Linked DNA regions of Drosophila melanogaster. The protein of the gene in region 2 purifies or fractionates together with the protein of the main gene of each other region. This does not show direct contact. Each region holds a gene or a part of one and is shown on either strand. Other genes may lie near its edges.

The links.
Region 1: the proteins of Mtr3 (region 2) and Dis3 purify together in Drosophila melanogaster (affinity purification with western blotting; 2 studies listed by BioGRID, with this or other methods). This does not show direct contact.

What each region holds. Positions count from the first base shown.
Region 1 is NT_033777.3:24,331,555-24,338,761, reverse strand, and holds Dis3 (Dis3), read right to left. Parts: upstream 5,330-7,207; 5' UTR 5,270-5,329; coding exon 4,890-5,269; intron 4,838-4,889; coding exon 4,393-4,837; intron 4,330-4,392; coding exon 3,251-4,329; intron 3,195-3,250; coding exon 2,526-3,194; intron 2,469-2,525; coding exon 2,093-2,468; 3' UTR 1,729-2,092; coding exon of another isoform or gene 1,692-1,728; 3' UTR 1,514-1,691; downstream 1-1,513. Other genes in the region: CG6432 (uncharacterized protein), read right to left, coding at 1-915, 1,692-1,728; Rrp5 (ribosomal RNA processing 5), read left to right, coding at 5,541-5,621, 5,678-7,207.
Region 2 is NT_037436.4:19,910,779-19,916,393, forward strand, and holds Mtr3 (Mtr3), read right to left. Parts: upstream 2,938-5,615; 5' UTR 2,852-2,937; coding exon 2,701-2,851; intron 2,643-2,700; coding exon 1,813-2,642; 3' UTR 1,627-1,812; downstream 1-1,626. Other genes in the region: Prp3 (precursor RNA processing 3), read left to right, coding at 1-741, 796-1,550; Rpn1 (regulatory particle non-ATPase 1), read left to right, coding at 4,413-5,615.

The DNA of each region.
Region 1 (7,207 bases), on a different chromosome or scaffold from region 2:
CCACCCAGCCCATATCTGAGGCCGCCCACCAGGTGTGGCCAGGATTGATGCCATAGAGAGTTCTCAGCGTGTACACCAGAGCAACCAAGTGACCTCCGATGGTGCGAAGTACTCCCTTGGGCTTATCCGTCGTTCCAGAGGTATAGAGGATATACAAAGGATCGTTGGCCTCGATGGGAACACAGGCTATGGGCCGCTCGCCCTCCGCCATCTTAAGAATATCCGACCAGAGCACATCCGTCAGAGGATCCAGTTTGGTGGTATCTGGCGAAACATTATCACGCCGAAAGATTATGTTACGCTGCGGTGGTCGCCATCGCGACATGCTAATAGCTGAATGAAGGATGTCCAGGTAGGGCACCACTTTGCCCGGCTCCACGCCCACATTGGAGGCGATCACCAGTTTTGGTTCCACATGTTCGATGCGCGAGCAGAGTTCGCGGGCAGCGAAGCCACCGAAGACCACGGAGTGAATCGCACCCAGACGCACAATTGCCAGCATGGCAATGATGGTCTCCGGGATGAGGGGCATGTAGATCACGACGCGATCACCTTTGACCACGCCCAATTTGGCCAGGCCGCCTGCCAGCAGAACGATCTGGTCATACAGCTCCTGATAGGTAACCCGACGCAGTGTGCCAGTCAAGGGGCTGTCATGGATTAGGGCCACATTGGAGCCGCGGCCGGCCAGTATGTGGCGATCAATGGAATTGTAGCAGGCATTCAGGTAGCCACCCACATACCACTTGGTGAATGGCGGATTACTGTTGTCCAGTACCTTCTCCCATGGCCGATCCCAGTCGAGCAGGTTACCCTGCTCCTCCCAAAATGCAGCCGGATTCTGAACACTCTGGCGATAGGCCTTCAAGTAGAGAGGATCGTGAGCCTCCACCGGCATGCCGCATACAGATTCACCTGCGGAAAAGGTATAGCAGCAGGTGACCATTAGATGGGCGGGTTCATTGTTTCCTCTATTGGGTTAATCGCTGCTTTTAATTAGGCTATCAAACTAAATTACAAACCTTCCACTCCATACCACCTTACACACACCAGGCACATTGAATTTTAAATTTTCCAAATGTCGCGGTCACTCAACTGATTTCTATATACCCAACCTGGCACCCATGTACTGCACATATGCGTCGGGTGTGCGGCTCACCCAGACGCCGAGCATAATCCACACGTGATTGGCGATGGATATTGGACCTAAAAGCCTCCTTGTTGAATAAGCTAATCGAATTCATTAATATTTAGTGCCGACAGTTTGGGCGCACAACTAAACACTAATTAATCACTTCAAAGTCGCATCGAAAGTTCATTATTTTAATTGGCGAGCAGTGGTTTAAAACACAATATTTATCACCTTGAACTCTTGTGCATAAATTATCTATCTATCTACATCGCACTGCAAGAATCCAAGAATATTGTAAAAAGTTGGACTCCACTTAGATAGTTTTTGGAAAATTCGAAAATCTATAGAATTCATTTAGATCACAACGAAAGTTGGCATATTAGTTTTCCAAGCACTTTATTTGATGTTCTAAAAGTTGTTTATTTTAACTGATGTTTTCAATATGCGTATTAAAATATGTGTACCGATATAAATATATGTTCCGCAAAAATCACGCGATTACTCATTGATTAAATTTTTTAGCCTTTTCATATGAATTTCGAAACCTTTTTCGACTTACTGCCTTCGTAGTTCACTGCACTAGGACCGGGTTCCATTGTAACTTTGTATAACTTCCGTTCTTGTATATATTCAAGTCAAGTTAATGTATATATGTATTTATTATATATATTCTTTTTGAATTTTTTGGATCAAACGAGCTCAGCACAACCGTCGCACTGTAGTCGAAACTTTGCAATGGGTCTGGAGAATGTAGAACGCAAGTTGGAAACCAAAACCTTAAACAAAACACCCGATCAAAGGTATGCTTTCGAAACTCTCCGAGATCGGCAGAGCCGGAACGGTGGAAAAGGTTTACGAAACGGAGCGGAATTTAAAAACCTTACATTTTATTTATACGAAATGATTGTAGTTACACATCTTCAGCGTAGTCTAGTTCCACATAAGCAAAGATCCAAAGAATTACTTCTTTTTCTTATCCTTCTTTGTCTTTTTCGATGGAGGTGCCGCAGAAACCGCTTGGCTATCAGTTCCTTCGGTGGTCGTTTCCACGCTGAAGCCCTTGATGTACGGCTTGACCAGCCGGAAGATCAGCTTCTCGTGCTGCACATTGCTGGAATCCAGGCTAAGACGAACCGTGACTGGATCAAAGGAGTGGAACACCACGTCACCGCAACGCTGTGTATGATCCTCTTCGTTGAAGGTGAAGACAATCTCGCTCTTGACGCGCTCCACACCGTCCTTGCCATCCTTGTCCGACTTTAGATACAAAGTGCCTTCCAGGCCATACTTGGGGATTAGCACTTGCAGAGCATTCTTGCGCACAAATAGCACATATCTAGGGATGGGTAATAATTGAAAAGAATGTTGCCCACTAGTGGTTTCTTCGACTCACCCTTCCTCATCCTCCTCCTTGCCGCGGAAAAAGAGATGCGTGTTGAGGGCCACTGATGCGCGACCAGCGTACTGAGCCATTTTGTGGCGGTAGTTAAGATTATGACACAGCTCCTCATTTGACTTTCGGTCCAATAGCTGGGCATAGGTGCTATCCGCGCCGATTGAGGCGGCCAGCAGGCGATGTACCATAATGTCGGAGTAACGACGAATGGGCGACGTAAAGTGCGTGTAGATGGGAGCAGCCAGACCGTAGTGGAAGAACTCCTCCTTCTGCAGACTGCCGCTGATGAAGTACACTGCCTGCATCATACAGCGTGTGGTGAGGATGCGGATCATTGTGTTAAAGTACGGATTATCCGCCTTGACACACTTGTCCAGTGAATGCGACAGCTCCAGTCCCGAATTGATGTCCACCTGGAAGCCCTGGTAGCGCGCAGACTTTACCAGCGGATCGAAATTGGTAGGCGGTGGCCGAGGATGGCGACGCAGAACAGCGCACTCGGAGAACTCCGTTGCGATATGCTCGGCCACCGTGATGTTGGCCAGCAACATGAACTCCTCCACCATGGAATTCGTCTCGCGCATCTGCTTCACCTCCACCTCGAGTGGTTCGTGTGTCTCGCTGTCCACCTGGAAGCGGATCTCCGGGGAGGCAAGGACAAGGGCTCTGTAAATTATGGATGCCTTAGTTCACTTGATTACGAGGTGTTAATATAATCTTACCCATTATCCATTCGTCGCTTTTTCAGTATTTTGGCCAACCGATTAAGATTTCTCAGGGACTTGGCTATTTCATTCTGTTGCGTGGCATCGTCGATGATATTCTGCGCTTCCTCGTAGGTCATGGCACGCTTCGATTTGATGACGCTCTTGTGGAAGCGTTTGCTTAACACATTTGCTTCATTGTCCACTTCCCACACGCAGGAGAAGGCGAATCGCTCAACACCGCCAACCAATGAGCAGAGATTTGAGCTGAGTAACTCGGGTACCATGTCGATTCGTTTGCCCACCAAGTACACGGTGGTTCCCCTGGCCGCTGCCTCCATGTCCAGTGCGTTTCCTGGACGAATAAAGTGACTTACGTCGGCTATGTGAACGCCCACTTCCAGATTGCCGTTCGGTAGTTCCTTGCAGTGCAAAGCATCATCGATATCCGTGCAGCCCGGGGGATCCACAGAGCAAATGTACAGATCCCTCAGATCCACACGCTTGGAATAGTCCTCGTCAGTAATTGTCCAGGGCATTTTCGGCAAGAAGCTAAGCACTTCGTCCGAGAACTTGCAGTGCGGGACGTCGTGCTCCAGCAGGATAACCTCGTTCTCGGTGGCCATGTCTCCGAGCGGTCCCAGGGAGCGCACAAAATGTCCATGTGGGTAGCGCGAGTTGCGCGGCCATGTGTCAATCGTTACGATGATGCGCTGGTTCTGCAGCATTGCTGCCTGTCGCGTTTCGATACGGATGCGCGGAATCTTACGGTCGGCGGGCACAAAGATGTGCCGATTTGTATCCTCTATTAAGCTAGGCTGCAGGATGCCGCAATACTGTCGCCATTTCCGTCGCACAATACCGACAATTCGCCCTGTGGGCGTGCGCTCTGCGGATAAGGCAGCGGCACGCACCTGATTCAACATCTCATTTTCATCCTTGGCCCTTTCCTCGCTGGGCACTTCATCGGCATAGACATTCTTCTCCTCCAGTACAATTTCACTGGGTGCTGACCACTCCGCCTCGGGCAAAAGCTCCACGGCCACCAGGTCGCCATCCACGGCCCGATTAAGAGACTCGCGTCCTTGGATAAGGATCTATTAAACAGAAATCGTATTGTGAAGCGTATGCCAGGGAAGATATTTAGCGTTTTAACTTACCCCCTTTTCGAATTTCTCTACATTGACGGTGCCCTCCAAGTAGTTTTCCCTGGATGCCTGAAAAGTGCCCTGTAGTAGCTTATTTTGGCGCAGTCCTTCCAGCAGCTCCTTCATGCTGAGATGCGGCGGGTACTGGGGCAGACCATTCTTCTCGCTGTCGAATGTTTTGTGCGACAGCTTATCCATCAGAAGTGGAAAATCCTCGAGAGATTTCACGTACTCCGCTGCTGTGGTCACCAGAATACCTTCTGCTTCGGCCTTAGCACGATTGGCAGCATCATCTGTGAGCAGAACAACTCGCGTAGCAGCTTTGCCACTGCGCTCGAACTCTTTAGAGGATTGCGAGGCCTGCAGGTGATCATCGTACCACTTGGTGGCCAGACGAATGGCCCGATCATTGCGATCATTGGCGGTCTCATCTGGTTCGCGATCAGCATAGGTTTCCCTAGAAGAAGCACTATATTATAAAGGTTTCCCAAGAAAATCCATTAACCCACTTGTGGTGCTCGTTGACGAACACATAGAAGTTCCTGGTGCGGTCGTGGACGATCTCATTGAATCGCTTGTAAATGGCGGAGCTCCTGTGCTTCACCTCGTTGAGCACGGTGGTCAGAACGACTACGTTGCGCAAAACATCCTCCTCCAGCACGTCGATCTGGTCCAGAACCACATTTGTGTCCAAAACGAGATAGTGCGGGAATTTGAAGAGGGTGCTCTTATTCGCGTGCTGCGAGGTGAGCTGGTATACCTCGTTTTGGAAACACTCCCGGCACAGCTCGGAGCCGCAGCCGATGTCGTCGCGCAGATAGTGCTCCCGTACAATCTTCAGAATGTTGCCGCGCTTGGTTTTACGCGTAAATTCGCGTAAAGTTTGCATTTTGTTGAACCGCGTTCGAATTGTTACACCTTCACATGTGTGCCGGAATAGGGAGGCCCGTGCATGATTCGACTGCGGTATTATCTGCCTAAGGCCTGTTCACACTGCAGCCGCAATGGTCACAGTGGTTTGAGTCTACGGACTGCCCCGTATCTTAAGGTATAATTTAGTACCATTTATTGAACTGATTTTCTATATCGGCGCTTAGCACGTGTAGAACGCACGTTGCTCAAATTTTGTTATTTAAAACGCTAAATTACACAGCTCCCGGATGGTGCCGAACGAGAAAAGCTTTCCCCGAGGCGGGACAATCCACAGCGAAGTCAAAACCGACGACGTGAGCCTGAATATCGTGAGTTTAGCCAGCGAAATATCCGAGATCTTTGTACATACTTTTCTGTCCCACAGGTTTTCGGTGCCTCGCAGAAGAAGGTGAAGAAGGCGCCGAAAGTAAAAGAGAACCTTCTGAGCTACGAAACCGAGGAACAAAATGGCCAACTGGAGGCCTTCTCCGCGGAAACGCTCAATATGGACACGCTGCAGGAGGACATGCTGGTCATGGGAGTGGTCAAGGAGTTGACAGCCACCGCACTGCAGATCGCTTTGCCCGGTCGGATGTTCGCCCGCACCTTGGTGGCGGATATATCCGACGCCTACACCCGTGTGGCCAAGGCGGCCATGTCCGGAGACACCAGCGAGTACCACGACCTTACCGAGCTCTTCCAGTTGGGCCGCATCGTCTACGGCAAGGCCATCAAAACAGAAAAGCTGGACACCGGTCGGGTTAGCCTGCTCCTTTCCCTCAAGCCGGCCGATGTGCACGGTAATCTGCATCACAAGAGCATTAAGAAGGGTTTCATCTTCTCTGGCGCCGTGGCGGAGGCTCTGGAGCACGGCTATGTCATCGAGTCGGGAGTACAAGGACTTCAGGCATTCGTGCCATGCGAGAAGCCAGCTCAGAAGCTACACGTGGGGCAGTTGGCTTTCCTAAAAGTCAAAACCGTTCATCACGACACCCACCAGAGCACCTGCACCTGTGTCCAGGTGGAGCAGGACCAGCTGCGCATCAAGAGTCAAAACGAGACGAATCTCGACTACATTCTGCCAGGCAGCATTGTAAAGTTTAAGGTGGCCAAGCATCTGAAGGATGGCCTCAAAGGCAGCATCATGAATGAATCCTTTAGTGCCTACGTCAACGAACATCATCTAGCTAACGCTTTGGATACTTTGGATGCCTACGAGCTGAATGAGGATTACAATGCCAGGGTACTCTACGTGATGCCCCTAACCAAACTAGTGTACTTAACTCTTAATCTGGATATCAAAACTGGAGCTGCAGTAGCAAAAGATCAGGATGAGGAAGAGCAGGAGGTAGAGCCCATAAAGGTGGGTTCCGTGGTGGAAAAAGCCAAGGTTCTGCGCTTGGGCAGCGGTGGCGTGGTACTGCTTCTTAATAAGAAACTAAAGGGCATTATCTCATACGGTTCAATCAGAGGCAATTTCAAGGGAAATTATGACAAGGACGAAGTATTGTCCAAATACGGAAGAAAAACGAAGCATAAGGTTCGCATCCTAGGATACGATGTCATCGAATCCTTGTACTACTGCTCCGATGATCCCAACGTGGTCAACGAAAAGCTGTTCTGCCTGGAGGATATTAATGCCGGCGATCTGGTCACAGCGAAAATATTCAAGAAGGATGACAAGATCAAGGGCTGGTCGGTGAGGATCGGCAAGGTCAACGGAATACTGGAACAGTTCTATCTGGCACCCAATGTCCGCTACGATGTGGGTCAGTCGTTGAAGTGCCGCGTCCTAGAAGTTAATGCCGAGCGAAAAATCTGCTACGTGAGCAATCGTGCCGAGTATTTGGGCAAGGGAATTAAAATTCTGACTGATTATGCGTCCGCTCACGTTGGAAACGTCTATATGGGCACA
Region 2 (5,615 bases):
CGATCGGAATGCCAGTTGCCTTAGCCACTCAAGCGCTGGCGAAGAAGCCCACGCCCGAGGACTCGGAGAAGGCCAGGAAGATTGCCGAGTTGCAGGCACAGATCAGGGCCAAGCTTACTGGCAATTTGGCTAGTTTGATTCAGCCCACTGCGGTAGCGGCCGCCGCTGCAGCTGCTGCTCAAGCGCAGGAGCGACCCAAACCCCTGATTCTGGACGATGAAGGACGCACTGTGGACAAGAGCGGACGTACCATTAATATTCCCACGGTGACACCTACATTGAAAGCCAACATACGCGCCAAGAAACGGGAGGTGTTCCAACGCCAAACGGGTTTGGGTGAACGGAGTGAATCGGGCACTTCGGCCCAGGAAGAAGCTATTAAGTACTTTGACGACCGCATAGCCCTGAAGCCCACTGTTAGAACCAAGAGGACGTTGAGATTCCACGAGCCCGGAAAGTTCCAGCAGCTGGCCGAACGAATGCGCATGAAAAGCCAGCTGGAGCGACTACAGAATGAGATTTCGCAAATAGCCCGGAAAACGGGCATCTCGTCGGCCACCAAACTGGCATTGATTGCCCCCAAGCAGGACATGCCGGACGATGTGCCTGCCATGGAGTGGTGGGACTCAGTTATACTGACCCAGGATCTGGAGACGGTAGACGACGCAAGCGGTAAGATAAGCATACGCCAAACAGCCATAACCAACCTTATAGAGCATCCCACACAAATGAAGCCGCCAAGTAAGTTGAAAGCTAGAACATGTCCCACAAGCAACTAACCACCTACTCCTTCAGATGAGCCCTTGAAACCAGTGTATCTGCCGGTTTTCCTCACAAAGAAAGAGCGCAAAAAGCTTCGTCGCCAGAACCGTCGCGAGGCCTGGAAGGAGGAGCAGGAGAAGATCCGACTGGGTTTGGTGGCCCCACCAGAGCCGAAACTGCGCATATCCAACCTGATGCGTGTGCTTGGCTCGGAGGCCGTACAAGATCCGACCAAAATGGAGCAGCATGTGCGCGACCAGATGGCCAAGCGGCAGAAGGCGCACGAAGATGCCAACAATGCGCGCAAGCTGACCAGCGAGCAGAAGAGCGAAAAGAAGCAGCGCAAGCTGAGGGAAGACACCAGCTGCGGTGTACATGTCAGCGTCTATCGCATACGAGATCTGCAGGACAACCAGAGCAAGAAATTCAAGGTGGAGACCAATGCCAAGCAGCTGCAGATGACCGGCAGCGTGGTGTTGTTCCGGGATTGCTGTGTGGTTGTCGTGGAGGGTGGGCCCAAGCAGCAGAAAAAGTATCGCAGGCTCATGCTAACGCGCATTAAGTGGGAGGAGGACAACGCCAAGGGCAATGACGGCCAGGACGTGCCGAACTCATGCGTACTCGTCTGGGAGGGGACTAGTCAGCGACGGCACTTTGGCGAGATCAAGTTTAAGATCTTTCCAATGGAAAAAATGGCCCGTGAGTTTTTTCAGAAGCACCAGGTCGAACACTACTGGGATCTGGCCTACTCCGGAGCCGTGCTTGAGGCCTCCACGGATCAGCAGTAGATAAAAGGCATTTTAAGAATTGCTAGATACACTACAGTTCTACAAATTCACTTTCGGAAAGATACAAGTCTGAATTAAAGTTTTGAAGCGCGCTACGCATTTGATGTTATTATTTTCGAAGCTATTCGGAACTTTGGAAGTGCAAAAATAACGAATAAAAGTTTTATCTGGACTCTAAATATTTGTAGTAATCATTTTTTAAGTGGTGGTTGTTGTTCAAATAGATCTGGGATTTATATTAGTATGATTTATTCTCAACCAACTACTGCCTCTTTACATAGGGATCCTCCCGGATGTTCGATTGTATAAACTCCTCTGGTCCTTGCTTCTTTAGCTTCTCGATTATTTCCTCCAAACGCTGATCTTCTAGAGCGGTCTCGGCTTTCTCGCGTAGATCTAGTTCGTGCTGCTCCTTCACCCGCTTCGTGAGCACGCCTTTGACTAGTTCTCTCAGGGACTTGTTAATGGCCAGGGTGTAATCCAGCAGCTTTACATAGGTGGCTGGACTGAGATATCCGCACTGCTGGCACTGGGCGATCTGTTCAAAGGTATCCATGCTGGCGGTAATGATCAGGCCGTGCTCCTGGGCGGATGATGGGCTGGTTGTGCTATCGGTGCTGCTGTTGCGATGCTTCCAGAGCAGCTCCTCAACCTTGGCACTGGGATTCAGGAAGACGTGATCCCGATAGATACAAGCTGTGGAGGCCGTAATTAAGTCGTAAGTGGAAATGCCGCACTCCACCAAAGCGACTCCGCAGCAATTGATGGCAGTGCTGAGCAGGCAGCCGTCATCGTCGAGAATAAGCACCCGTATGTCCAGCTGAAAGTTAAGGAACTCCGTGCGGCACACCACCGGCTCCATGGCCTTGGTCAGCATGCTGCTCAGGTGGCGTTCCCGTTCCGGCACCGAATCTAGATCCCCTGTGCTGAAGGCCGCAAAATTCACATAGCAATTCAGAACACCCATGTTCATTCTGCGTGCGCTGGCGCGGATTAGCTCCTTTGGCGGGGCCACAATGGCCAGAACCTTGGTGTTACCATACTCCATGTAGGCGGAACCTCTCACTGTGGTCAACACACCGGCGCGGATGACTGTAAGTCACAAGAGGTATGAGAAATTGAAATACAAATAAGGATGTGCACTTCTAACAGGTGTTTCTGGGTGCCAGTTGTGTTGGCTCCCTCGACGGTTTGTCTAGACTCTCAAAGAAATCCTCGCTTTCCTGCGGAGTTGTGTACGGCTCTTCCTCAATGGAGGCTCCATCGAGTAGGGTGTTCTTCGTCTGGTTCACCGCTAGCATATTTATATTATATCTTTTGATTGAATATAAAAATAAACAAACTGAGTTCACATGTGGTCTAAAGACTTTTAAGTTTTCGATTAAAATACAAATCTGGTATTTTTGTATATTTCGATATTTTATACCGATTCTGTATCGTTTCGTGGGTTATCGTATTTGAATGAAAACCTTCAAAGAACCTTAATAATAAGAACCTAAAATAAGTCTTCTTATTAGTGCTAATTGTGCTAATTATTTATAAAGTCTAAATAATGTTTTGATTCCTTCTGATAATTGATAACTTAGTAGTATTTTCTTTGTTACTAAGAGAAAAAAGAGCTTAAATATAATCGCAGAAAAATCGATTGCCGAAGTGTAAAACAACGCTTAAGATAACGCTAATCCACTCGGTACAGACTGAAGAGATTTCTGGGAATATGGCCGACAAGAAGCACTGCCATGGATGGCCTTGCATCAGGCCTGGAATAGTGTGTCGCGGAATAGAATACTGATGGTAGGATATATGCCCGCGTTATAGATTTTACTTTTGAATTTCAGTGAAGAGTTGCGAGGCTAGCTTTAGTATTATCTTAAAAGAAAATTCAAGACAAGTAAAAGCCATGCGGAATAGCCATTATTTCGGAGTTACCCATTCATAGTTTGAAACCCATATCTCTAATATTATATACACCTGACGACTGATTCCTTTTTTTGCAGGACCAAAAGTTCTGCCATTGCTGCTGATATGAAAGTCAAGAGAGAAAAAAATTAGAACCACAATACCTCGGATCAAGAGGATTTCTCAAATTCACAGCTTTTGGGGTCCGATGACGGAGACAGTTTTGTAGGAGATGCCGAGAATTCATCTAATGAATCAGTGTCAGTGAAATAATGTTTTTCCTAAACTCACGAAGATATTACGCAGGATGAATGTTGGAACTAGAGAGATCCATTAACATCCTAACCAACCATCAACCAATTTCTGAAGAAATCAGATTAGATCAGTTAATTTCAAGAGACCCATTTTTGCATATTGGGACTCGCTACTTCACCAAATACTTCCGCAGCAAAAGCAGACAAGAGTTTTTTGGCCAGAAAATAACGCATTGTGTCATAAGTAGCCCAACATGTTTGAAAATATAAACGATCTCCGTTGATATCAAGGAATTACAGCTAATACAACTGCAAAGGCCGGAAGTTAAATGGATATTTAAAATATCTGCATATCACAACATTTTTAAATATATACACATACACAAATATAGTTAGCTTTTTCTTTCACTTTCTAAACCTTTCAATTTTGATTGGCAAGGCCCCTAAAAATCGATAAGGTGAAAGTCACTGCCATCACTATTTGAACGTTACCAGCTCGTGGTAACGGTAGCTGATTATTCTGGTATTTTAAACAGATTAGCGCGGCATAGCCTGGCGTTCGCCGCGCGGTCACACTGCAAAAAGCGCTGTGTAATTCTGCTGTTTCAACAACGAAAAAGAAGGAACAAAGCCGCATAAACCGCATTACAATCGAAGAAAACGTAGTGCCAATTAAATCCCTTAAGTCCGACAAGCTAGGAAAGAAATCATGACGGGCGAGACCAAGCTGGAGAAGAAGCCGCTGAAGCCGGCGGCATCCGAAGGCGATGCCAAGGATCCGAAGGCCAAGAAGGATGAAAAGAAGGACGGCAAGGACAAGGAGCAGCAGCCGGAGCTCTCCGACGAGGACCAGCAGCTGCAGGAGGAGCTGGAGCTGCTGGTGCAGCACTTGCAGGAGCCGGATGCCAAGCTCTACCAGCCGACGCTGGAGAGTATGGCCAAATTGATCAGAGCCTCCACGACGTCGATGACCTCGGTGCCCAAGCCTTTGAAGTTCATGCGCCCGCACTACGAAACCATGAAGACGGTGTACAAGCACATGCCCAATGAGCAGGCTCGCCAGTTGTGCGCCGACATCATCTCAGTGCTCTCGATGACCATGGGCAGCGGCAAGGATTGCCTGGCCTACCGATTCCTCTGCGATCGCAAGCAGCGCATCGGGGACTGGGGCCATGAGTATGTGCGTCATTTGTCTGGCGAAATTTCGGCCCACTATCACGATACAACGGGAGACTTTCGTGTACAGCTCATCGAACTGGTCAAGCAGATCATCCCGTACAATATGGAGCACAATGCCGAGGCTGATGCCTGCGATCTGCTGATCGAAATCGATCACTTGCACCTGCTGAGCGACTTTGTGGACGAGTCGGCCTATCCCCGCGTCTGTCTCTATCTGCAGTCCTGCTATCCGTATGTTCCCGACCCGGACAACACCATTATCCTGGAAACCGCGCTCCAGCTGTCGCGCAAGTTCAACCAGTACACACAGGCCATGCGACTGGCGTTGATGCTCAACGATATGGACAAGATCGGTGAGATCTTCAAGGAGCCCAAGGAGCCGGCCATGCAGAAGCAGCTGGCCTTTATGCTGGCCCGCCAACAGATTTGCCTGGAGCTGGATGAATTGGTGCCGGACTACGATGATCTCATGGAGATCATGTCGAATGCTAATCTGAACAAGCATTTCCTCAATCTGGCTCGCGAACTGGACATCATGGAGCCCAAAACGCCTGAGGACATTTACAAGTCGCATTTGGACAACTCGCGCTCCCGCTTTGCATCCATCCAGGTAGACTCTGCCAAGCAAAATCTGGCCGCTAGCTTTGTAAATGGTTTTGTTAACGCCGGTTTCGGTGTGGACAAGTTGCTGTCGGAAGACGGAAACAAATGGTTGTACAAGAACAAGGAGCAC